Linked DNA regions of Mus musculus. The protein of the gene in region 2 purifies or fractionates together with the protein of the main gene of each other region. This does not show direct contact. Links are inferred from orthologs where the notes say so. Each region holds a gene or a part of one and is shown on either strand. Other genes may lie near its edges.

Region 1 (3,500 bases), on a different chromosome or scaffold from region 2:
ATATACTGCTGTGCCCAGCCCTGGCTGATAAACAAGTAACAAGGACTCTTGATCCTTATTCTTCCTTGAGGGGAATAGTTCAATATTCATGAACTATGTTTATGGGTTTTATACAACTCCTGTGAACAGATCACAAATTAGTGGTCCAGTGGTCACTAAGAACTGTGACCCAGAGGTCCCCACTTCTGGGGAGGGGAAGGACATCTGATGAGACTGGGTGAGTTCAGAGTGGTGGTCCTTTAAAAGATAGCTTCAATCAGACAGCTCCTGGCAGTCAACTGAGACATGTGGCTCAGGCAGGCCTTGAACTTGTGGTCTTCCTGCTTCTACATCCTAAGTAGCTGGGATTACAGTAGTTTTGTCACCAGTCCAAGTTTAAGGATTTGAACTTAAACTTGACTGCCAAAACCAGTGTGCTTTCAGGTAAAAGAGGAAGGTTCTAGGCTTAGGTGTGGCTCAGTAGTGAATGTCTAGTATGTCAGGCCCTGATTCCATCTCCAGCCTGAAACATTTCTGGAAATCAAGAGCTAAAGCAAAACTTACTTACCTGAAAGACGAACATATGCCTTCCTGCAGGGACAGGGCCCACCAGCACTGAATCTAGGATCTGATCAAACTCCTCACTCTCAGCTGAGCCCACATAAATGATCTTCCACTCCAGGTCTGCAAGAACATGGGGGATAAGGGAACTGAGGTCTTAAATAGCTGGAGAGCAAGGCAAGGGTCTTCTTGTCAGCATTAGGCAAATCTGAATATACTAGAAGGTCCTATGAACTGGTGTGTTTGCTGGGCTGTCGGTTCTGGCACCACAGTCCTGATTAAGAGCAAATATGAAGATCTATTTTAATGGAGACATTTCTCCTGTGGGCCTAACTTGGCCAAGTGACCTTGACTCTGGCCCTCCCGGGAAAATTAGGCCTCTCAGTAGCCGAGAGGAACCATATAGTAGAGGCTGACTTGAGTCCTGTGACATCAGCTTGTGAGGGAACAGCAGGGAGTTGGGCTACCTTGGTCTCTGGGTAGGAAGTGCCATCTCATTCTCTTTCACAGAGGATTGGTGCCACCTAGTAGAGCAAATCCCTCGATAACTGGGGCAGGGTGGCAGATTCCAATCCAGCAGGAGAGCCAGGTGGCAGGAGGGGAAAGGCAAAGCTGTGGGGGGGGGGGGGAACCAACTTGTCCCAAAGTTGTCCACATCTGGCACCAACTCATGCCTACTTGTGCACATTGTGGGACAGAGGCTCTGCCAGCAAATGTTGTATGACAAGGCATACCTCCAAAACCTGACAATGTACTCCATCACTAAGGGACTCAGTCCTGGAGTATACCCATAAGAGATCAAAGAAAAAGTACCTGGAGACCCTTCCTATTAATCTCAGAAGAGCCCTGGTACTCATAGCCTCTTGTAGAGGGGCCAAGTGTTACCAGGAGCAAGGTCATGCTAGTACAGAGACGCTTGGCACCAGACCCAGAACTTATTTTAGGCTCTTTGAAATTACACAACCCCTAGCTCCAGCAGCTGGGAAAAGTTGCACAAGCTGAAATTTTCACAGAGAGCTCTTGGAAGCTGCCTGGCTCTTGGTCCAGTGTGGTACGGGCATCCAACACTGGAAGCACACAGATATCAGATCATACTATGGAGTTTGTCACCTGATCCATAAAGCTTTCCTTTATACGTCACGTCCACTCTCTTGTTCCTTCACAATCCCACCTACATCTTTCTAGGTAACCCCATGCCCATGGTTCATCAGGTTCAAACTCCAGCCTTAGTACTTTGGGGAAATTATTTAGTTATTTCATTTTTAAAGTTTATTTTCTTATGTGCCTTTCCTTTTATTTTATGTGTGTGGGTGTTTGCTTGCATGTGGGTCTATGTGCCCTTTGGTGCCTGTACCCACAGAGGCCAGAAGATGGTGTTGGGTCTGCTGGAACTACAGGTACTGTAGGGGGTTGGTCTAGTGCTGCTTGTATTCAAATGCTAAATTCTGTACCCAAGATCTGGTTACTCCATGATGAGCATATCTTCATGTATACCAGCCTTTGTTGTGTAAACCTTGCTCCACATGTTATCCCCGACTGGTTAATAAAGATGCCTACAGTATGTAGCTGTGCAGAAGAGAGGAAGGAGGGCCTCAGGTACTGGGCTTGGGGTCTCAGACAGGGAACATGGTGAGAGAGAAGGAAGAAGTTACCATGAGATAGGTGGATTGTAAGTGCATGACCTATTGGAGTAAGAGTGGCCAGGCAGAACATGGCAAGTTCTCAGTTATTGACAGGGAAGTAGACAAAATAACATAAAAGGTTGATATCTGCCCAGCTCTAAAATTTTTAAGCTTATTATAAAGGTAAAGGTTATTGTTTTTCATTTGAAAACTATATAGTCCAAGTGGGATAGAAATCCCCAGAATAATATTTACCACAACATTTTGGCAAACCAACATGGGGTGAGAACTTACTTATAATCCAAATTGAAATTTCAAATTTCCTGGATGAAAGGTATGTTGTCCCATTAAGATAGAAGTAGTTAATCACTATGTGGGATGGGAGCTAACCCTGGGTTCCCTAGAAGAGCAATCAGTGCTCTAACTGTGGAACAATCTTTCTAGCTGTCCCTAGCTATTTATTTCTTAGGAGTGCTGGTGATGGAACTTAAGGTATGTACATGCCAAAAAAAGTGCTATGCATCTGAGCCATGCTCCCAGACCCATAAATTTAGTTTTATAAAAAGTGACACTCTAGAATCAATGATTCTGGAAGGACAGAAAAGTATGCGACCCTTGCTTGGCCTCACTTTCTAAGATGGCTCTGTCAAGCTCTACTTTCTTCAGGCCCCTTCCCCATACTCCATGGTGCCACATATTCATACACTTAATTAATGTGTTGGAGGGAAGACTAGGCAAAAAAAGAGCTTGACACAGAAGAGTCCCTTGTGTCCCCAAGGCACCTAACATTGCTTAGTTTAGGTCAATACTGTTGGTAAAATCTATTAAAAGGAAGACTGTAGTGTACGCTGGAAGCATCTTCTTGACATGGGCCAGAAACAGACCCAAGAATTCACAAAAGACCACATAAATACTGACTGGCTACAGTCAGAGCTGATCAAATCTTCTACAGGGCCCATAAACTGCAGTCATTTAAAATTTGATGATTTTTTTCATATTTTCTTCCTTCAAAAGATAGATTGCACTGGTATATGCCTTTAATCTCAATATGTGAGACACAGCTTTAAAAAAAAAGACAGAGTTGGGTTTTAGAATTGGCTCTGAGGATTAAGGCACTTGCCACAAAATATAAAGACTCAGCACAATCATTCTCCAGAAAACACATGATGGAAGGAGAGAACTGACTCCAGCAGGTTGTCCTCTAACCTCTGCGAGCACTCGCACATACATACACATATGTAAAAACAAAGGAACAAATGACAGTCTTCCTATGTAGTGTAGGCTAGTCCAGAACTTATAACATATCTGCAAGCCTTCCAAGTATTGGAATTACAAGAG
Region 2 (4,242 bases):
TGAAAATACTTCCTCCCCTTAAGGTGTCTGTTTCTCTGAGTATTGGGTGACAGTGACGAGAAGGCCAATACATCACCTGTACAGCAAAGTGCTTGGGAGTCTCCCCCATCAGCCCGATCTCCAAGTCATCGTCATCCGAATCTTGATCTTCAGGATCCAGTTGGCCCATGGGTGGCTCAGCAGCCATGAGGGGGAAAAGGGCGTGCAGCAAGGGAGGCACGAGGCGGTTCTTTAGTAAGGCCTAAGAGGGGAGGGCTAGCCTTGAGCATCTTCCCAGAACAGGCTCATGGGAAAATCCCAGCCTCCCAACCACAAGGACCCCAGCCAGAGACTCCCCGTCTCCTAGGCAGGGAGAGAAGGCTGGGCCAGGGCTCGAGCAGGACTAAGCCTACAAACACAACTAATGGCGGAGACAGCAGGATGGGGTAACTTCCCCAGAGGGAACGTACCTTACTTTTGACTTTGACCAAGAAAGTGAGGCAGCAGAGAACACGTACGCGGAGTGGTTCGCCAAGGGCCACATTCTTAGCCACCTATACAGACACCGACAAGAATCAGAAACAAGCAAGAAAACTTAACGGCAAACCAGCGAGCAGGAGCAGCACCCACCCCGGGCTCACCTCCAGGCAAAACGTGAGGACCTCAGAGAGGTGGGGGTTGATGATGGGCAACTCTGTCTCCAGCATTTCATCCAGGGCCTCCAGGGCCTCACAGGCCTTTACCTGCAGACAGACAAGTAAGTCACAGGGTACTCGCTCCTCTAGGGGACCATGGTGCTTGTGCCTCCATTTTCCTTCCAAAAGGAGACCCCTCCCGTCTGTCCTTACCTCATCTAAGGGGATCAGAGTCCTCAGTGCCGTAACGACTTTGGGCACCAACATCCGTGCAAGAGACTGGAAGACACAGGAATGAGCGTAATCACATAAAGCGCAGGTGGTCTCATCCCAGAAGCCAGGAGCTGGAGGCTTCCTCAAAGCCTCCATCTAAGGAGCCAGCCAGGCCCAGCTAACACGCTATGCCCTCAACCCTTAGGAAGAACGGGAGGCGGAATAAAACTCGAAAGCAGCTTGGGCCAAGACTTCTGAAAGCGAGGGCACGAAACCGAGAGATACAGGCAGCGTCTTACTTACCACATCATCCGGCCTGACATAGCGGGCGATGGCAGTCAGAGTGCGCAGGGAGTAGAAGAGCACTCCGGGAAAGCTGACGTCACTGAGCGTCTCATTCAGAAGCTGAAGCAGCTCGTGCTGGTGGGCATGGAATGCCTCGGGCTGGGAAGACACCACCACACTCAGCAGCAGAAGTCCCACCTGTACAGGAGCAGGGGAGAAGAGACGGTCTCGTGGTCTATCCAGCCTCTGTCCCTCCTTCCTGCCAACAGGGCAGTGCCAGTACCTCTTTCTCGGGGCTATGGGAACTATGAGTGCTGTGCTGAAGAAGGTTCATGAACTGAGGCCATCCTTGTAGGCCTTCCTTTCGAAAAATGGTGGCTGAGAGCTGGGCCAAGCTGACACTCACAGAATGCCTACAAAGAGGAGGTCCATTCATATAGAAACACCTTTTACCACCCTTCCCTTGCAAACAATGCCCCAGGCCCAAGGAGTGGCCAGAAAGAGAATGCAGGTATGTGCACGGTCTTTCCTAAGGCAGACCCCATAAGACCACCGACAGCTGGGGGTGAGGAAAGGAGGGGGGCATTGTGATCTGGCTCGGTCAGCACCACTGGACAGGCTGAATTCAATTCAGTCTTGTTTTCCCTATCTGGGTTTAGCTGATCATTTTCAGCCATTCTCAAAAACTTTAGGGTTTTAGTTGGGCAGTGGTGGCACACACCTTTAATCCCAGCACTTGGGAGGCAGAGGCAGGCGGATTTCTGAGTTCAAGGCCAGCCTGGTCTACAGAGTAAGCTCCAGGACTGCCAGGGCCACACAGAGAAACCCTGTCTCAGAAAAACCAAAAAATTAAAAAATGAAAAATAAATCACAAAAAACTTTAGTTTTCACATGTTCCACCTTCTAGGCCTGAATTAAGTCCTAGTCTGGGGCTGAAAAAGAAGGTAGAAGTCCAGTATCTCAGCCCCAATCAGTTAGGACCCCCGAGAGTGGGTGCTCCACACTTACACTGTCTCTTTCTGCAGTGCTGTCAGGACCAGGGACTTGAGGCTGGAAGACAGGTGGCAAAGGCTTAGTACTCGGCCTGTCAAAAAGTAGACTAGGCCCGGCCCCTCCCATCCTAAATCTAGCCCACCTCTCCCTCTGCTCAGGTGCCAGGCGTCGCCAGCGATTGTTCAGCCTTCTGCGGGTCAGGACCGCTGCAAACTGGCGGATCTGGGGTGAGAAGAGGTTGCCAGCCAAATGAGAATCACAGGCACCAAGAAGATGATGAACAGATTAGGACCGCAGGGGGCGGAGGCTGGAGCGGGACCAGGGACACATTGAGGAATTTCAGAATTTCGGCAAGGAGGGGCAGGTGACTCGCCTGAGAGTCGGTCGCTGTTGCCAGCAGATCGAAGAGTGCGGGCAAGGCAGCAGGGTCCCGAAGGATGGTCTGGAGCTGCTCCGTAGCCTGATGGAAGGCTGGGAGGTCAAGACCGGGCCTTTCCCACAGCCTCCCCATCCCCGTAGCCCGGTCAGGCCTGCCCATACCCGGCGGATGCGCTCCGTGTCGGGCAGCAGCAGCTCCTTCAGGATCTGTTCCAAACCCGCAGGCTCCATGGCAGCTGCCGAGCCGCCGCCGACGCCGCCGCTGCTACAGGGCCGGGTGGGGAGGGGGAGGATCGGCACGTGGAGACTCCGACAGCAACTTCCGGCGGAAAGGGCGTTACTCTGCGTCTCTCCTGTCGCCTGGGTGATTCAGCTTGCTTCCCTTCAAAAACTGCGGAAAGCTGGTGGCTGGCGTCAGTCTGGGCTTCCGTCTGCCTGAGCACCCGCTGACAGAGCCTCGGCACCGTGGGTTCCCTGTGCCGACAGTTCCCAGAGTCCAGAGTTTGTGTGGCAATAGCGAACTCGGGTTTTCAAAACAACTGCATTGACAACAGGCCTCGGGTTTCTATAACTAGACCAAAACTTCCAACGACAGGATCCTTTTTCTTAATAAATTTTATTTTAATAATTGTAAAAAGAAAAAAAAAATCAGGACCAAAACGTAAGGCAACTTAAAAAGTTCAAATATATATATTCCTTATATAATAGAGATTTTTAATTTCCAGGTCCTCTCTAAAGAGGGAAGGAAGGCGACAATGCCATCACACAATTCGGTCAGAAGAGAAGCTATCAAGTGAAATCAATGGGGCATGATGAAAGCAGGAAAGAGCCAGAGTTCTGTGGCTTAGAACTCAGTCCATCTTGAGGTTAACATAGATATAACGGATGAACTTTAAAGAGGAAAAAAAGGAGATGGTACCCAGCATGAGGAAGAAGACATAGCCAGTCAGTAAAGAGTAGCCAAAGAACTCTACTGTCTGTACTGCCCCTGACATGTTAGAGCGCCGGGCATAGTAGAAAACTGAGTAGAGGAAGATGAAGAGGCCGGTGGAGCCGACGCTCAGCACGGATCGCCACCACCAGCGGTAGTCTTCCCCAGACAGCTGGAAGTAGGTGAGCGCAATGGAGATGCAGGCCCCCACACTCAGCAGGATGGCGAAGACAAAGAAGAGGATGCCGTACAGAGTGTACTGCTCTCGACCCCAGACTGTGGCAAAGATGTAGTACAGCTCCACGGAGATGGCGCTGTGAAGAGAAAAAGACAATGCACATCATTAAAGCTCTGTTCATAGCCACAGCACGCGGAGCCAAACTCAGCCACATCTTCCGGTAGCGCTGTGGCGATCAAGAGAGCTCCAGGAGGCTTCTGCCTATTAGCTTAGTTTATTAGTTGCTCTCGGTTCATGAACATCTTCCCTGACAGGCTGAAAGCAACCATCTTAACTAGAGTAGGCATACATCTATAATACTACTATTTGGGAGGCTGAGGCAGGAGGATTGCCAAATTCAAAGTCAATCTAGGTTAAAAAGCAAGTTCAAGGCCAGCCTGGAAAACTTAAGACAGTCTTAAAATGAAAGGTAAAAAAGGGCTGGGATGTGGCTCAGAGAACAGTGCTTGCCAAAGGATGCACGAGGCCCTAAGCACACTCCACTACTACAAAATGGGAGCAAGAAAGAAGTGGAGGGGGCAGATACTGTGTTGTTTACTTCCTTCTGTATTGTTTAAAAGGTACTTAACAAACTGAATGAGAAAACACAT

The links. Proteins that work in one complex are often made in the same cells at the same time.
Region 1: the proteins of Ipo4 (region 2) and Asf1b purify together in Homo sapiens (affinity purification with mass spectrometry; 5 studies listed by BioGRID and IntAct, counting the BioPlex papers as one, with this or other methods). This does not show direct contact. The link is inferred for Mus musculus from reciprocal best matches to the Homo sapiens genes IPO4 and ASF1B.

What each region holds. Positions count from the first base shown.
Region 1 is NC_000074.6:83,962,194-83,965,693, reverse strand, and holds part of Asf1b (histone chaperone ASF1B), read right to left. Parts: intron 664-3,500; coding exon 548-663; intron 1-547. UniProt on the Homo sapiens protein: Histone chaperone that facilitates histone deposition and histone exchange and removal during nucleosome assembly and disassembly. Cooperates with chromatin assembly factor 1 (CAF-1) to promote replication-dependent chromatin assembly.
Region 2 is NC_000080.6:55,632,885-55,637,126, forward strand, and holds the start of Ipo4 (importin-4), read right to left. Parts: upstream 2,801-4,242; 5' UTR 2,715-2,800; coding exon 2,646-2,714; intron 2,566-2,645; coding exon 2,479-2,565; intron 2,328-2,478; coding exon 2,248-2,327; intron 2,163-2,247; coding exon 2,121-2,162; intron 1,526-2,120; coding exon 1,396-1,525; intron 1,311-1,395; coding exon 1,131-1,310; intron 894-1,130; coding exon 828-893; intron 723-827; coding exon 621-722; intron 534-620; coding exon 450-533; intron 242-449; coding exon 77-241; intron 1-76. Other genes in the region: Tm9sf1 (transmembrane 9 superfamily member 1 precursor), read right to left, coding at 3,335-3,728. UniProt on the Homo sapiens protein: Nuclear transport receptor that mediates nuclear import of proteins, such as histones, RPS3A, TNP2 and VDR. Serves as receptor for nuclear localization signals (NLS) in cargo substrates.